Linked DNA regions of Schizosaccharomyces pombe. Changing the gene in region 1 together with any one later gene gives a genetic interaction. Each region holds a gene or a part of one and is shown on either strand. Other genes may lie near its edges.

Evidence for each region. Genes that interact genetically often act in the same process or in processes that back each other up.
Region 2: mutations in chl1 (region 1) and ers1 together harm fitness more than expected from each alone (negative genetic interaction), as found in Schizosaccharomyces pombe (2 studies listed by BioGRID).
Region 3: of chl1 (region 1) and rad21, changing one enhances a phenotype caused by changing the other (phenotypic enhancement), as found in Schizosaccharomyces pombe (one study listed by BioGRID).

What each region holds. Positions count from the first base shown.
Region 1 is NC_003424.3:5,396,916-5,403,134, reverse strand, and holds chl1 (ATP-dependent DNA helicase Chl1), read right to left. Parts: upstream 4,391-6,219; 5' UTR 4,022-4,390; coding exon 3,383-4,021; intron 3,318-3,382; coding exon 3,125-3,317; intron 3,066-3,124; coding exon 1,363-3,065; 3' UTR 1,032-1,362; coding exon of another isoform or gene 1,025-1,031; 3' UTR 973-1,024; coding exon of another isoform or gene 902-972; 3' UTR 725-901; downstream 1-724. Other genes in the region: rpl4101 (60S ribosomal protein L41), read left to right, coding at 902-972, 1,025-1,031; GARP complex subunit Vps51, read left to right, coding at 5,056-5,535; trehalose-phosphate synthase Tps2, read left to right, coding at 5,940-6,219. UniProt on the Schizosaccharomyces pombe protein: ATP-dependent DNA helicase important for chromosome transmission and normal cell cycle progression in G(2)/M.
Region 2 is NC_003421.2:799,474-805,043, forward strand, and holds ers1 (RNA-silencing factor Ers1), read left to right. Parts: upstream 1-1,684; 5' UTR 1,685-1,723; coding exon 1,724-1,754; exon of another isoform or gene 1,755-1,790; coding exon 1,791-1,866; exon of another isoform or gene 1,867-1,905; coding exon 1,906-1,954; exon of another isoform or gene 1,955-1,993; coding exon 1,994-2,043; exon of another isoform or gene 2,044-2,066; intron 2,067-2,098; coding exon 2,099-2,513; intron 2,514-2,558; coding exon 2,559-3,838; intron 3,839-3,887; exon of another isoform or gene 3,888-3,888; coding exon 3,889-3,936; exon of another isoform or gene 3,937-3,973; coding exon 3,974-4,084; exon of another isoform or gene 4,085-4,126; coding exon 4,127-4,408; intron 4,409-4,458; coding exon 4,459-4,545; intron 4,546-4,586; coding exon 4,587-5,028; 3' UTR 5,029-5,070; downstream 5,071-5,570. Other genes in the region: protein Fta4, read left to right, coding at 370-511, 586-1,145; rRNA processing protein Ipi1, read right to left, coding at 5,154-5,570. UniProt on the Schizosaccharomyces pombe protein: Involved in RNAi-dependent heterochromatin formation and centromeric silencing.
Region 3 is NC_003421.2:1,341,039-1,346,739, reverse strand, and holds rad21 (mitotic cohesin complex non-SMC subunit Rad21), read right to left. Parts: upstream 3,848-5,701; 5' UTR 3,649-3,847; coding exon 3,616-3,648; exon of another isoform or gene 3,536-3,615; coding exon 1,682-3,535; 3' UTR 1,347-1,681; downstream 1-1,346. Other genes in the region: F-box protein Pof3, read left to right, coding at 1-1,346; SPOM_SPCC338.18 (uncharacterized protein), read left to right, coding at 5,118-5,471. UniProt on the Schizosaccharomyces pombe protein: Cleavable component of the cohesin complex, involved in chromosome cohesion during cell cycle. The cohesin complex is required for the cohesion of sister chromatids after DNA replication.

The sequences.
Region 1 (6,219 bases):
ATGCTTTGTGCAGTGGAGCGAGATTGCGTTAAATATTTGGGGTGGTGTTGTTTGCTTGGCAAATGCCGCAAAAGAAAAAGCCACCTCTATCTCTTACTTTAAAAAAGGTATCATTCAGTTTTTACAGATATTAAATCCATTCTGTTATACACAATTGGTATTCATATACATTGCTAGCATATCCTTTAAATTTATTGGATTATACATTTTTTACATGGTATCTTTTAGTACCAAAGGGTTAACGTTGCATTTTAAAATTTGTTTTTAATAGATGATTAAAGTAGCTCAAATTGTCAAGGAGTTTAACAGTTCGACTTAAAAACACAGTACTTGTTCCGGATGCTTTCAGTATCTTATATAGCAGTCTAATTACAATGTCTAAGAATAAATTTATACTATTCTATGGCACAAAAATGCGTTTCACCTTCCCTGTAGACTACTTACTAGACTTTAAAGAATGTTTATGATATACCTGTTCTGTATACGGTTTACAAACTAAAGTATGTAGTATGCTTGAAGTTTACACAGCGTTTGACAATAGATCGCAAGTCGTATACAACAACATCAGGTATGTTGTCATTAAAGGATAATATGAATGGATGATATAGCATTAAATGGATTATTATTAAATCTGATTTTGAAGAGCTGAACCTTTCAAAAAAGATATGCAAAAGGAAGCACTTAAAAATCACTTACTATCGTTGACGGATCATTTGAAATAAAATATGTAATTAACCACTTTTTGTATGTTTACATTTCGTTCCTTGACATACTAGAGTAATTCTGTTACTTGACTGTACTTTTGAATGTGTTACGTCCGTATTGTGTGTTCTTAAAAGAGCAGTCACAATGTGCTATACAGATGAAATATTGCCTAGTCTGCTAGTCATCCATAACCACAATGCGTGATAAGTGGAGGAAGAAACGCGTGAGACGCCTTAAACGTAAAAGAAGAAAGATGAGAGCTAGATCGTAAGTGTTGTATTATATTACTCAGACCTGCAGACTTCTAACTTTGAATTAGTAAATAAACGGATCATCTACAGCTCGATGGACTGAATTAAGCGGTCCCTAGCGTGACGCTTGGATATCATGGCAGAGGCCTCTTCCTGCTCTAAGTCGTAACTTTTCTCAAGTTGGTTTTTTTCTACCTAAACAACCTTCATTTGCGACACCATTAGTGCAGTCTTAATTGACGTTCAAAATAGATCTTGTTTTTATACCTTTGACGAGTAATGATTTGAGTAGTCGGTAAATACGAGAGAGGTGTATTTTCTAAAAATTATAGAGTAATCTATTTACAATATGCGAAGCGTAATTCTAAAATAAGCCTATGTTGACGCTGTAACGCAAACCATATGTCTAATCACACATCTTTTTAGCCCGGAAAAAAGTAGCAAGTTGCCGTATAGCAGGTCCGAAATTAGGGCTAGAATGGATGTTTTTGCTTAACCAGTTTGGTAACTTCCTTTGTATACTTGATCGATTATATCTGGAATCCAAAAGAATTATACTTGCATAATCATCTCGGTGTCGAATCGCTCGACCTATACTTTGATTTACTGCTCGCATACAGGTATTTTCATAAAATTCCTGTGAAGCTTGTTTTGCATTTATGCCTTTCTCCTTGGCCTTTTCCTCTACGTATGAGACCTTGGCTTGCCATTCCACATCTTGCGAGTTAGGGAACGGCATTCCTACCACCATTACGGCTCGGCCAAGTTTATCTGAAAAGTTGATTCCTTCTGAAAGTCTTCCTCCTATCACGCTAAACAACATTCCACTCAAGCCTGCATCTACGGACTGTTTATAGTGTTCAAAAGTATCCAAAGGATTATCGCCAAAATCTTTACTTTCAATAAATAATGGTTTTTTTGCATTTAAACGATTTGTAATTCCATTCATTTCCCATACTTTTACAGCTTGCTGCAAAAATGCAAAACTGGGAAAGAAAACCACGACGCCATCTGGGATAATGGAAATGAAGTTCTGAAAAGTCCTTCCCAAATCTTTTAATAAATTCTCATCGTCTTTTCTTTTATGTGTAAATTCAAAAGGGACGCCTGCAGGACCTTGAGAAACTAGAATGGTTGTAATATTTTCAGGAGGAACTATATGGTCACATGAAAATGGAAGTATACGAGATTGTTCATCTGAAAATAAAAGGGTTATAAAGTCATCAATCGGTGACATGGTGCCACCAGCTAAATTCACTGAACGACATTGTTCGGTCAATATCTCGACATGTTTGGATGGATCGAGTAACAAATATTTTAAATATGGATTGTCCCCCGTTTGTTTTTCGTAAAATAGTTTCCCCTCAGGAGCAGGGTTGGCGATATTCAGTAAGAAAGATTCTAATTGCATTAGGACCGGTGTGTATGGATCCTCTTCATATCCATTGCCGTTTGAAAATCTTTCACTACGAAGATCATTCAAAGACTCCAATTCTTGTGTCCCCAATGAATGCATATATTTCGTATAACCATCGACTTTTCTTGCTAGTTTTGAAACATTCAAGTATTCAGACAGATGGTGCAAGTTAATTTGATCCGCACCATTTGATACCAGTAAAGAATCGACATTGATCACTTTTGAATTCGTATTAGTTTCTAGACAATTTAAAAAAAAAGATTTTAGGTTATAGACAACTTTGATCAATTGCTTTATATGCATTCTATTATTACCATTCAGACGTTTTTCAAACCGCAGAAAATATTGTTGCAATTGAGTTTCAGCAATACAAACTTGTCTAAACGAGATGGAAGAAGAATGCATGGAACAGATTGCATCAATCAAGTTATGAGCTTCGTCAATTATACATATATTGTCTTTAAGAGTCAAATTAAGCGCATTTCGTGCTGATTCTTGTAGCAATAAAGGATAAGGTAGGGTCACAATTTGAGCTGAATCCACTGCTTCCCTCGTTCCGTAATAAGGGCAGACCTTTAAACGCTGGCCCAATTCTACGAGTTCTTCAATATCCATTATTTCAGCAAGTGCTTCATCCCGGAAGTCCCATAATTGAGTGTTGTCTTGTAAAAAGGGACACTTGTGAGCTGATCCTAAAATGTAAAAGTTAATATTAAACTGAATTTTCAATCTAGTGAAGTTGTTAAAGTACCTTGAAGCTCAATGCATTTTTCATTTAAAGCAGACGTTGGTCGAAGTTTCCGGACTTCATTATTAATACAAAGATTCTTACGAGAAGCCAAAGAAACTACTCGTATTGGCGTTGAGAAGGTTTGATTATTGAGCTTTTTAATTTCCTGAACAAGCTGTTGCAATTGAGAGTGGGTTCGAGAAGTAAAATATATCTAGCAGTAGGTTAGAAAAATATTACCACTAAATGAATATTCCTTATAAGCACCTAAATTCGTACCTTTTGAACTATAGGTGGTTTTTCATTATCGGGACTTAATTTTCGCAATAGTTCAGAGACTTTGGAACTGTAACCGTTATTAAATAAATCTTCAGATTGTTCAGAAGTCGATGGCATCGTATATTCTGCTGTAACTAGATATTCGTCCATCGGATCAACCGAAGTATTAGAATTATTACAATTGTCTGAGGTTGAGGCTTCTGCGTTTATGTTCCTCCTTTTTGTTTCCCTGTGGTATGTAGTTGAATTATTGCTCATTTGATTTTTGCGACTTTGGTTCCTCTTTCGAATTTCTTCAAGGCGCTGTTCAAGCCGTGCATGTGTTTCTTTTACTAGATCCTTTTGTATTTTCAAGTCTTGCTCTAGAACCCAATCTGGAATTTTTGAGGATGTGTTAGATTTATTGTCATTAGATTTTTCATTATCCTCAAGTAAAACACCTCCATGTTCGTCTAGCCAAGTAAGTGAAGCACAGATTAAACTCAAACTTTTTCCCGTTCCAGTTGGTGATTCAAAAATCCCAATCTTTCCATCGCTGATGGAAGAGTACAAACTGCGCATGAACTCTAGTTGGATATCGTATGGGGTATACGGGTGATGAAAATTGGTTTTAAATTTTACTTCTTTCGAATGACACATTTTAAAGGTAAAACAACCTTTTCAGAAACCTGGAAATCTTTCGTATACTATTTCGAGTTTTGATAACAGTAATTGCACATTACAGAGCCAAATGTAAGGTTCCCTTGTAAAATAGTTAATAAAGCATAAAATAACACCTTATAAACACGGGAAAGCGTATGTTTGAGCTTAGATTTTTCAGTACAACAAAAGAGAGTAGCGATGATACTAATTGAATTTACCAAATCATATGCAAGCTGGTTTCTGAAGAAGGAAGTACTGTTGCATAAACTCCATCCGTCAAACTGTCTATTTATATAACAAGAAGACTTTTCAACAAAATGTTAAAATGAACAGAAGAAACCGCTTTGCACGAGGTTAGGCAAGTTTACTGTATGTTAAAAAACTGTTTCAGTGTATACTGAAGTTAAAATATATTTGCAAATTTAAATCAAATATTCAACTACTTTTAAGGGGAGGAAACTAAATTTAAGAAAATTAAATATGCATTTCTAGTTTAACAGAAAGAATGAGATTTTGTTAAAAGTGCTAAATTCTCTTTCAACACTAAGCCTACAATTCAGTTTAGAAGAACAGCAAACGCTCAAAGGTTAAATAATATATATATGCTTGACGCTCTCTGTATTATCGAATATTATCATAACTAATGGAAATAACTATGGAAAAAGAAGCTGAAGTATGGTTATGTAATTTTCTAACGCGTGCAATCGTTAGTCTTGTTTTTGTCATCTACCAAAGAATCGCAATACCGCGAAAATGCATTTTTAAAATGCGTTGAGATTTTGCTACCAGATCAGCAATAAAAGTATCGAAACTTTTTAATCAAACTATCAATATGAAACAAAGCAATAGAATGTTTTAAAGAAATATTCGAAGCATCGATATATGATATAAAGATGTACAGGAGTACGTTATTCACTCATTTCTATCACTAGAGCATTTTCTGTCGGCAACAGTATTTTGTTCGTTGCTGGCCTTGTAGATACATTTATTTCATTATTTATTAAGCACTGTCGTTAAGTAAATTGTACAATATGTCAAGTAAACGCCGTCAAGCTTTAAGAGACTTTTATAATCTACCTGGTTCAAATAGCTCATCTTCAACTGTTTCTACAACTCGAAAACCGTCTAGCTCTAATACCGTTTCGCCAGTGGAAGAAACAGCATTAGATAAAGTTGATCCAGAGTTCTCAGATCCAAATTTCGATTCAAATGCTTACGTTTCTAAATTTATGGAGAAAGCCACACCAGCCGAATTATTGCAGCGTGATAAATCTTTGGTTGCTTCGATTCAAGGGCTTTCTGTCGACCATAGATCTTTGGTATATAATCATTATAAGCATTTGTTAGAAGCTAGTGATGCAATTAACTCTTTTTGTAAAAATTTAAATACACTTCTACCTGCATTAAACGATGCTTATCAGGCATGTCCAAAGCCTACAAGGAAAAATGGAAATAATGATACGTATTCAGCTCCCCAATCTTTTAATGGAAATGAATTTTCAGCGCCATAGTCGCAGATTTGTTCTACCATCTCAGTGTTAGCGTCTTCACATCATTTCAAAAGCTTGGGCAATGACGAACACCATCTCATTTATCAGTTATTCATAATTCATTAGTAAAAAGGTTCATTCATCATATATTCGTTATTCGCAGGGAATTTCCATTTTCATATCGGTGAATTCGGTGTCTTACTACCTCTCTCGGTCATTTGAATTTTCCGTCATTTAGGGTACACTGTCCAATGTAATATTGAGCTTATAGTACGGTCTCCTACTTTCTATACGTTTAATCATCTGCTTAAACAAGCGCAAACGACATTGATTTAAAGTTTTTTGCTAGCTTATTGTAGTGATTCATTGGTTTTATTCTCTATATTTCTCGTCACTTCTCCTCGGTGAAGTTAAGTGCTCTAGAAATGCCTTCAGGCGCGCAAGGAAATACTCAATCAGCTGCTTATAAACGTATTGTTAATGTCTCTCGAAATTTTCAATTTAAAGCAGCCTTAAATAAAGATACTCGCGAATGGACGTTTCAGCATCGTAGTAGTGGCACTGCCCTTTACTCAGCAATTGCTTCATTGGGAGATCCTAGTTCACCCTGGGACGCCGTGTACGTAGCTTCTCCTGGACCTGTACAAATTTCGGAAGGAAATGACCATACAGTGGAAACTAAGATTGATGAAGCTGCTGTTGTTC
Region 2 (5,570 bases), on another chromosome or scaffold:
GACGAGTCCTTTCTAAGGAGCTAGCTTAATGATTATGTACATAAAATCTTCATTTTAACATCATTCAAAGTATTCTATTTAGTCGCTCGACTTTTCGACTTCTTTAGTCTCCTGTAACTTTCTCAAAATTTGTCATTAATCAACCATCAGCCAAGGTCTGATTGATTTGGTCTTTTTTTGTTAAGTAATTAATTTTGGAAGTGCTTACACTGAAGACGTCTATATGCTCAAAAGTCGCTGTTAGTTTGTTGCCTTTGCGTGAACTTGCTTTGTTAATTTCAATACCATATTGACTTGTTTTTCGATCAGTATTCAACTGTTTTTATTTTAATCCTGATAATCTTGATTTAAATCAAATTTACTTCCTAAATGGATATTTACGAACATAAAAAATCATTCATGGAACGACAGATACGGCTGTTGAACCGACCTATGCGCCCTCCAAAGGATTGGAAACTTCCTTTAAAATCCGGTCAGCTTTCAGAATCAGTCGTTGAAACTGTATTCCAACGTACGTGTTCCATGCTTTTGTCTGGATTTCTCCTACAAATAAAAAGTTCAAAATATTATTATTAACCAAAACAGGATTGCAACTTCGTATCCAAAAGCATGCAAAGCTAAATTATTCACATCAAGCAACTCAGCATGTTGCCGCTCAAATACGAAAGTTATATGAACAAAATAGCGCTATTGAGGACATTACCTTTTTAAATCCATTATTTTATGGAGAAATTGATTTAAGCAATTTAGACAGTGTAAAATCACTTCCCCATCCATGGCCTTTTCAAAAAGAATCCCGACCTGTCGAAAAGGATGAGGAGCAAGAGAAGTTCAATCGTCTTACGGGAGAGTTACTTGGTCTATTAACAACGTTGTCAGAATTAGAACAGGAGCGCTCTGAACTTGAGCAAATCGAAAAAATGTTGGAACCTTTTGAAGATGGGCCTTCTTCAATACATACGAATATGTGGAAGAAAAACCCTGAATTGATATCAACCCTCAACAGTACGAACACCATGGTAGCTAAAATTAATTCTCTTCTCAGAGGGGTTTCATTTCCTTCTTTAAACAATGACAATCAGGAAGCGTCATTGGAGGACGAAATCAGAAGCCAATTATTCGAAAAAACTATTTCTGATGATTAAAAAACTTTTCGTAGAAATTGAGAGGGAATGATGTTCATGAACTCCTATTGCATCTCATCATCTGCTTTTGAAATAATGACTAATACTTAATTGGAGGAGAGGGTGCCTTATTTCCTGGTTTAAGGATTTTATTGACTCTACTAGAAATGTTGGGGCTATAGAAATAACTTTGAAGCTTCTACTTTACGTTCAGATATTTATTGGTTAATGATTTCCTAGCTTTGGGAGGCATTAAGTTAGTTGATAAGACAACACATTTTTATTTACAAATGAGTGTCCGCTAAACAAAATACGTTTCTTAACAATTGTCTTAGTTTTATTTTTTAGTTTACAGTGTTTCTAACCTTTAATGAATCATTACAGCTTATAATTCAAATACTCAGCTCTCGATTGTAAGTACGTTAACATTAATTTTATCACAATTATAATACCTACATACAAGGAACTATAGATTTAATTATTTTTCTTTTCTTCTGATAATTCATAAAGCTTTATATTCCTAATGAATTCATATTACTTCACTTATATTCTGAAGCTGCATATAGCATGTACCATCTGTAAGCTCGATGAAATGAGTGATGGGTAAAGTATCTGCAAACAATCAATCTGGTAAGTCAATGTGTATCATTCTTTTGCTAATATTAGGATTTTTTAAATTTTATATCGATACAGCGTTGCTTTTAAATGCTGAATTTATATCCTCCTTCACAAATTGTATAAAGTATGGTTTTGCGCAAATGGACTATTACTGATGATATAGTTCTGAATATAATGGAAAAGTAAAAATTTCTTACTCTTCTTCATCTCAGGTATTTTATATATCCTAGCTATTGACGCTAATAATTCAGCAATTCAAAGTCATAGTGTACGAGGAACACAAAAGAGAAGCGTTTAGTCTGTAAGTTCCATGCGTTCATCCTAAATATTATTTTAAATATTAATTAACATGCTAGTTTTGAGGAAATAGTTCAAAAGTTGAAGCGCGAATCAACTGTTTACAAGAAACCACGCCTAGATATTCATCCATTCGGGCAATTGCATTATGATTTTACTACTTTATTGAATTTTCAAAGGTACTTAGACTTAGGATACGGTATTGAAGATGTGAAAATAAAAGAAAATGAGGACATTGTTAAGTCTAAAGTGGGCAAGAAACCGACATCCTCCGATTTTTATATTCCTTGCTTGATAAAACCTAAAATCATTACTCCTTTTGAATGGGAAGGAAATTTTAAACAGGTCATTTATTCGCCTACTGTTTACAACGGGAGTTTCAAGCGATTATTTTACCTTCCCGACAATAATGATTTGCTCAAGGAGTTTGCGCATGCTACCAACACAAAATACAAGGCTTCTTTAAAAGATAATGTATGTATTTGTGAAGATACTTCTACCATCCTAACTTTTGACTAGAAAATAGTTGTATTAGCCAATAACGATCAGGACATTAATGCTATGTTGGAGAAAATGAAGCATATAGAGAATTTAGTGTCCCAGAAAGTCTATGAATATCCTGAAGAAACTCTTGTTTATGCAGGAAAGATTGCACCCTGCCAACTGAAATTTCTAAAATTAAAATTTGAAAACGAGATTTTATACACAGCTATGCATACGACATCTATTTTCAAAAGCGTTTTCAATATCCTTGGATCTTTTTATACTATGAGATTATTGAGAAATAAACATGATGGTGATTCTTATGAGTTGGTACCAGTTTTTGCTAAAAATCCTTCCAAAACCCCTCCCTGTAATGATAATTTTAAAATATTTTCTGATGATATAAAGCTGATAGGATGTAAAATATTTGCAGGTGTTTCTTTAAACTTCTCTTCTCCGAAACCAGCGCACAGATTTTACGAGTTAAATAAAACTTCATCCAATTTGTCGATCCCAGTCTTACAAAAGCCGTCAAATTTTCATTCTTCGTCAACCGAATTATCTGATAATTCAATTCATCAAGGAAGGAGAGCAGTTGATCCTGTTGTTAACCAGAATAATCCGTCAAATTTTGAAGAAATGATTATGAACAAGTTGAATAAATTACCCACGATTGATAAGCAAATTTTAGGAACTTCATCTTTGACCCATTTCCAAGATAAAACAACTGCAATTGAGCATTCAATTAATAAGTCTAATAGCAAGCAGCCTCCTCGGTTCAAATTTCAGCTTCCTCCTCGACCTACGAGCAATACTTTACCATTGGAACCTGAAGAAGAGCTGGTTACTAGATATTCTGTTTCTTCGGATGGTAATACTGTTGACGAAGCAATAACTAAACAGTCTCAGACTTTTCAATTGGTCAATTCAAATGAATTTAATGAAGTTAACGCTAATGATGTTCATAAATCTTTGCGACAAAATTGCGCAAAATTGGATTTCGACGATTCAAAGTCTAAAAACCTATTAAGTGTAGAATGTTTAGAGCTTGACAAAGGATCAGATTGTTCCACTCCAAAATCTGGCAGCTTAACTCCTTCAATTGACATGAAGTTTTTACGTTTACAAGATGAGAAAATGGACGACCTTGGTGACAACTATTATACAATTCTAATGTCTTCCAATCCGGTATCAAGCTACGGTGTGGGAAGCTTATACTTATTTCAACCAAAAATAGTATGCTCTGAAAAATACATTAATCACGAAGAGATTGACAACATGAATTTGAAATCATTGCACAGATGGTTATCTAGAAGGTCTGTGGTATTGACTAAATATGTAAACATAAGTCTAACACTTTGTTTAGCTTGCATGTACTTCAATCCTTTTCAGGTGAAATTGAATTGAATTTAGAGTATGCGTTTATTTTTGAATAAATATTAATCCAACAGGTTTGGCGTCATACTATATCCAAATATCTCATCAGATGTGTCGGCTTGTTCACATGGTTTTATGAATATATATAAGGATTTGAATCTTCCCCGATCATATTTTGCAGACTGGTAGGTTGAGTCTTCATATGTTATATTAACCTTTTTATAAAGCATTACCAAATCAGTTTCGAATATCGATTCATTATTGAATACTCCTGTGAAAATTTTGTTTGGACGTACTGAGTATACTTATCCTTTAATAGAGCATGAAGTATTAGATTCAAAGAATTACTTTGTTTTCAAGGGAAGTTTATTATTTACAGATGATAAGAGAAACAAGACAGAGGATTCCACTGTATTTTTTTCGATGATTTGTTCTTCAAAGTTAGATCAGTTTGCGTTTTATAAAGATTCTAAGCAATCTTCTACTTGCACTATCAATTTTCCTTTAGCGTATGTTATGAATGTTTTTAAGGAAAAAAACAACTAATCATGACTTATAGCTTATGGGATTCCCGTCTACGTATCGAAACGAAAGTCCCTTTAAATGATGCGATACTTACAGAGTTCTCCAAAAGTATTAGATTTAGGTATGTCAATTTCTGAAAGCTTCGACTAATCAGTTGACTAGAAACGTAAATAAGGATTTACTGTTAGTCTTTGGAAATATGGAAGACAGAGTAATAATTCATTCGGTCACAAGAATTAATGAAAACTCTGTACCTTTTAACAAAAATTTACTCCCTCACTCTCTAGAATTTATATTAAAATGTTCAAAAGTTAAGAGCTATGACATTAGCCCGTCATCTATTAATTCCAAAGAAGCCTTCGTTTGTCTCGACAGATCCAAGGAAAGCAAACCTATAGAATCCTGTTTCAGTCTAAGTATACAAAGTGTGTACATGCAGTCTCAGTTCAAATATAATAACAGTATACGCGCAGGAGAAACGGCTCCGTGGAAACTTGCAAATAAACAATTCATTGGTGGGGCTATTACTGAGAATGTTTCAGACTTGTATACTGCAGCAATTATTATGGTGAATCAATTAGGGGGGATACACCCTACTATTTAATTAATTTTATTTATGCGTTAATATCAATTTTGTTTATACCACTTAACATAAATAACCCCTCAAACCAAATTCTTAAATTAAAACAATGCGAGGACCCATTTAAAACGAAACATATAGAGTCAGTTTCATTTACCCGGGTTCTCCAATGCATCCAATTCCACTGCACGCTCGCGCAATTTATCGTATCCTTTCAATACACCTCTCCATTCGGAATCTGTTCCATAATTGATATTTATCAACTCTATGTCCCTATTTATTTTTCTTAAAACTTGAGATATTTTCTTCCTATGATTGTTGGGTTCATCAGCTACACTGAAAACTTGTTCAGTAAACAATCCAAGCATCGATAAAACCGTTCTACAAACTTTTGAAGCAGACGGAGAGTTGGATCCATCTTTAACAACTGGGCAAGCGTCAGACCACGAGTTTCTAATGAATTCTATAATTCCAGGTATTAAAGGATATATTGTCTGCCAACGGAAAGTAGGGTTATCGACAAGATCGTGTTTATTTGGATTGAATAGCGACAAATATGCAAATGA
Region 3 (5,701 bases), on another chromosome or scaffold:
GGCCGGTACTAGATTTGTTTCGCATTCTTCCCCGAGAAGTCCTATTATGTATTCTACAGCAACTAAATTTCAAAAGTATTGTTCAGTGTATGCAAGTCTGCAAACACTGGAGAGACTGTATTAAGAAAGAACCTAGCTTATTTTGTTGCTTAGACTTTTCATGCGCCTCTCCTCGAAGTGTAAACTCTAGAGATCGAAACGTTATGGCTGTTGCTCGATACTCTGTTTATTCAAAAGACAATATACAGGAAGTAATTGGCTTAGAGAAGCTTGGTATATTAACACCTACCAAAGCCTTACTTCGTTCAGTCAAATCACTTAAAGTCTACAAAACCATTTCACCTCTCCACACTCAGTCAACGGATAAATTGTATACAATTTGGACGCCATTTTCTGAACTTCACTACTTTTATTGTGCTACTCCTATAACATTTTCCATAGCTTCTAAGATTTTATCTTGCTGTAAGAAACTCAAGCAGGTTGAGCTTGTTGACTTAATTCCCGATTTGATATTTGATTCTATGGATTGGGATAAACTCTTTAATGCAGAATCTGTACCGCTGGCTCTTAAATCTTTGACGTTTATCCGAAATCAAAAGTTTCCCTTTCACCATAAAGAACAGCAATTTCTTAAAGACTTGCTGTCTGCCAGTCCATATTTAGAATATCTGGAAGCCTCATATCAGTCAGACCTAGTTGCTGCAATAAAAAAATATAAAATTAATCTCCGATCGTTAATTATCATTGATGAAGGAGTATCGAATACTGTTAAAGATCTAGCATTCCTTCCTCAATCTCTTACCACGTTAATTGTGAAACCCTGCAATCCTGCATCTACAATTTTATGTCCATATTTATTCCCTACAAATGTCCGGATGGAATCACTAATCAACTTAGAGTTATTTCTTTATCTTCGTTTATCTCAAAATGATATCGATAATGTTGTCAAATTTTTGACTTCTTGTTACAAACTAAAAAAGCTGGTTCTACACGATTCGCTAGCATTGGCCCCCCATTTCTTTGAAATATTTGCATCTTTACCGGAACTTGAGCATCTTGAGATTCCTGATAACGTTGCTCTTCAAAATAAGCATGCAATACACATTACTGATTGTTGTCCAAATCTAAAGTATGTGAACTTTTCAAATTCAATATCCCTCGATGGATCGGGATTTATAGCAGTTTTACGAGGACTGAAAGAATTAAAACGTATAGATATTATTAATTGTGATTCTGTTTCTAGAGATGCAATAGATTGGGCGCGCTCCAAAGGTATGCAAGTTACCGTAGCTTCCTCGCTTCCAAATTCTCAACCATTGGGTACAAAAAAGATACGCCTAATATAATATGATCATATTGTCTTTATATATTCAATCCTAGTAAACCCGTATCATCGCATTGAAAGGAAGATTTTTAAGAGATAGATCAATCATTGAGAATAAATTAAAAAGCGCGTAAGCTATTTCTAATCATAACTTTGTGTTGAGCTGATAATATTACATACATCCAACAGTAATATCGTAACTCGGAAAAAGAAAGACATACAACTCGTGATTCCAAAAATAAAATAAAGATAAAAGAAAGCAATGAACAATATTACTGTCATAAAAATCTATTTCGTGTAAGTATTCACACTTATTTATAGATCTAATTGGATTTTGAAAAAATATTAACCGACCTCTCATAGTGATGAAAGTAGCATTCCACGTTTAGCAGTAAGCGTGATTTCGTTCTGAATGGCAACATCCTGCTTGACAGATATAACATCCTTCGTCGCTAAAACGAGGACATCAAAGAAAAGTTGAACAGCTTCCTCTCTATTGCATCCCGCACTAAGAGTTTGGAAGGATACTTTTTCACCTTCAGTATAAGGATCCCACTTATTGCGTAGAGAATCTTTGGCTGTTTGTGAACTAGGAAGGGCCTCAGATACCGAAGAGTCCAATCGTTCGCTTCCCAGCAAATCGGCCTCGTCCAGCATTACGGGAGGAGCGTCAAAAAGTGAATCATCGGCTGATTCCAAGGCAGTAACAGGAAATCCCATTGGCGAACCAAGCTCAGGAGCTTCTCCTTCTGGTTGAACAACGGTTTCTTGTGGTAAAGTAGCGATAGCGGCTTCAGTAATGTTGGCAAGCTCAGCGGCTGCAATTTCTTCAGGGTCCAAGACTTCAGCAGTTTCTTGGTTTTCAGTTGAGGTATCAGTACGTTGGTGCTTGGCAGGCTCGACTTCCTCTGGGCTCTCATTTTTTCTCTTTCTTAGAATTGCCTGTTTGAAATCAGCTTGCAAAAGCTCGTTTACTTTAGGGTTCAGGTTGGAAGAAAATATGGAAGTATTAAATTTACCGTTTCGAGTAAAATTAACGGTGGCATTAAACACGATGGAAGATGTATTCAAGCATAACGGTGAGGTGATGGAAGATGTATCTGCCAATTGTTTTTTCATTTGCTTGGAGGACAATTCAGTAACGGGATCAATAATTGCACGTTGACGACGTACAGTTTTCTGTGGATTGATCTTTTCCTGTTGAGGAGCAGTGGCGCTTTCAACAACCTGACCTTCCTCTACTCCTGCTGCTGCAGGACGAGATGAATCATCTTCCATAATGTCAGAAGGGAGATGAATACTTGATGTTTCAGCTTGTTCATCAGCCTCTATCGCCGGAGCATTAGCACCTTGTTCATCTCCTAAAAGATCATCTAAGCCCAAATCCAGGTTTAAATCATCAACAGGAGCCAACAATTCATCATCCAATGAAGTTCCTCCTATTGGTAGCATGCTTGGCGTACTAAAATGAGTGACTGAACTAGCCGGCGACTTAGTCATTTGAGGCCCAATAATTCCACTTAAATCGGTGGCAGCAGCAGCAGGAGCATCTCTACCTACTTCTATAGAAATTTGGGACTGATTATCAGAGTGCACACTTCTAGGTGTAGCAGCACCGGAATTTGAAATGGGAAGATGAAACTGCATATCATTGCCAACATGTGCGAATGATTCGCCCAAGGAAAACCCTGATTCTACTTGGGCATTTCGTCCAGCCTCAATTGATAGCTGGGAAGATGGAAAAGAAGGAGAGGAAGATATTGGTAAAGAATGTAGTTCAAGAGTGTTCGAAGAACGAGAGGGTGTACGAAGAAGTTGAGACCATTGAAAATCAAATGTACTATCAGGTACCAAAAGATCAAACTCTGTAATTGTCTCAGGAAGAGTGAGATTAGCGCTCTGTGTCACAGCATCTTTACCTTTTAAAGATTGGAGAGCAGTAGCTGGTTCAATCATATCAACCTGACCCGGTTGAAAGGACATTTTCAAACGCATCAACGCTTCCGTACAATCCTCCAATAAATACCTAGCCTTTCTGGAATAAATGCGAACAACACCCAACATTAGTTGTCCTGATAGGCGAAGGGCCATTGGAGCGGTTTCCTCCGTGACAATTGCATGGACGCTTTGCTCAATACTGGTGTGCAAAGTTTGCACTTTGGAAAGTTTCTTTTCCCAGTGAGCTGCCAACCATACCTTGGCCAAAGGACCCTAACGCGAACAGTTAGTCAGACGATTCAAAGACAAATTAGCACTGTTTACGCGCTAAAGAAAACTTATAAACTACATACCTTTTTTGAAAGAATGGCCTCTGAATAGAACATAAGAAGCTTAATATGATTAGGAGAAAAAGATAGAAAGAAATTAAAGAGTAAAGACAAAAAAAAGAGGGGAATCAAAAAAGAACAAAAATAAACAAAAAATTAATAAATATTAAAATGAAAGAAATGCTTTCTTTCGCAAAATTCGCCTCCTCACTACGATATAAGCTGGGTATTTGTAAAAATGAATATACGTGGTGCTGGTTAAATGAGTACGCGCTGCGCGTAAATAAATCCACGTTGCCATGCCGACAATGAATATGATACATAAACAAACTAGTATGTGTAGCAACAAATAGTTAAATAAATGAATAAAAAAAGCTTGTATTGAAGTTAGAAACTGTTGAGCATGATCAAGGGAATATGCTTCCTCGAAGAAGTTGATTTATCTTTGTTATATGCTTGTATGTTTCGGCCTACTAACTGTATTATAAAATGATGCGCTAGATTTACGTTCACATATGTGCATAGAAGGCAACAAAAGGCATTTGAATTATGTTATTCAATTAAAATAGTCATAAGACATAAGGGGATATGTTTTTCAATAAAACGGAAAACTCCGATTACAACCTTGTTTTAACAATCTTGAGTTAAATTTTGACCATCCTTATTTTGGAAGCATTATCCTTCCATTGAATACATTTATCAAATGAATTCCATTCATTAATTGCATCTTCAATGCCATTTTTTCTGTATGATTAAATAGACTCGTAAAAGGATGTTTTCATCCCATTTTAGTAATGTCAAAACACATTACATTAAACGAATATGTAATAGAAATTACCACGACTGAAAATTTATTTTATTTCTATTATATTATTGTCAAAATTAAAAGGTTGATTGTGACTCGTATGCCAGAAGAAGGTTAATGAATAAAAATACTTATAAAAATAAATAAATTTTTTTTTTTTGGGTAGGGTGTTTTTTTTTAACGATAAACCCCATCCAGATAAATTCGATAAACAAGCTAATTTATTTAAAAAATCAAACAAAAAATAGAAAAAGGAATAGACAAGAATTCCATCCATATTCGTCTAGCAAATTCGATTTTTCCATTTCCCAATAGTGGACACTGCGCAAAACAGTTCCCGTATGTTTTAGTGAAGGGGAATTCGAGTTTGACTGTTGGAAGAAGGCAATTCGCTCATAAATCATTTTAATAAATAAAATGAATGTATAGCATTATTTTCGCCTCTGCAGAAGTTTAATGTCATTGTTCATTGTTGGCAATATCCAATGTGGGGGAAGGCGTAAATAAAATGAATACGTATATGTTTCTAACCTTGATTCTTGACTTTTCCCAACAACGGTTCACTGACTTTAAAAGAGAAAAAGTATAAATTACTAAAGCAATTGTTACATTTAAATAGATTGCTAAGGACTATTGTCTAATAATACAACAGTTACCTTTATTAACGTTTATTTTTCTTTTGGAACACATTGAATATTAAACTAAATTGCCACAAAACAAAATGACTGAACAGAATATCGATATCAAAAGAGAATTGAAGGATGAATCTCCAATTGGGCAATCTCCACATCTAGAAAATGATGGTCGTCCTAGTCTTATGTCGCGCTATAGCTACTCGTCTATTGAAGAGGTATCCAAAGAGGGCTATCAATGGTTTAAACATCAAAGTGTATTTCTTAAATTTAGCCTAATTGTACTTTTATTCTCGTTGATGTTTAGTTTGACGTTTGGTTCGTTGCTTGGATTAATTAGCCTTGCTTTGGGCTTTCCTAGTGTGGGATATCGTTATGTGCTTCTGCCCATATTAAATGCATTATTGAACCGTTTAAGACTTAATTCCTCCGGTTTGAAGTAGTACGAAAAGCTTGATTTCTTTGGGTCTCCCGTTTCTGCTTTTTGTGTCCGAATTCAAAATGAATCATCATAAAAAGACAGTGTTCTTGTTTACCTGAAAGCGATGAGTAACTTACCCTGTTGTATCTTAGTTTACGACGATCCTTGTATAACGACTGGAAAATAAAAAAAAAAAGTCAAAAAACTGTGAATATAATAAAAAGTGATTTTTTACTTGTTTAAATTACAGCC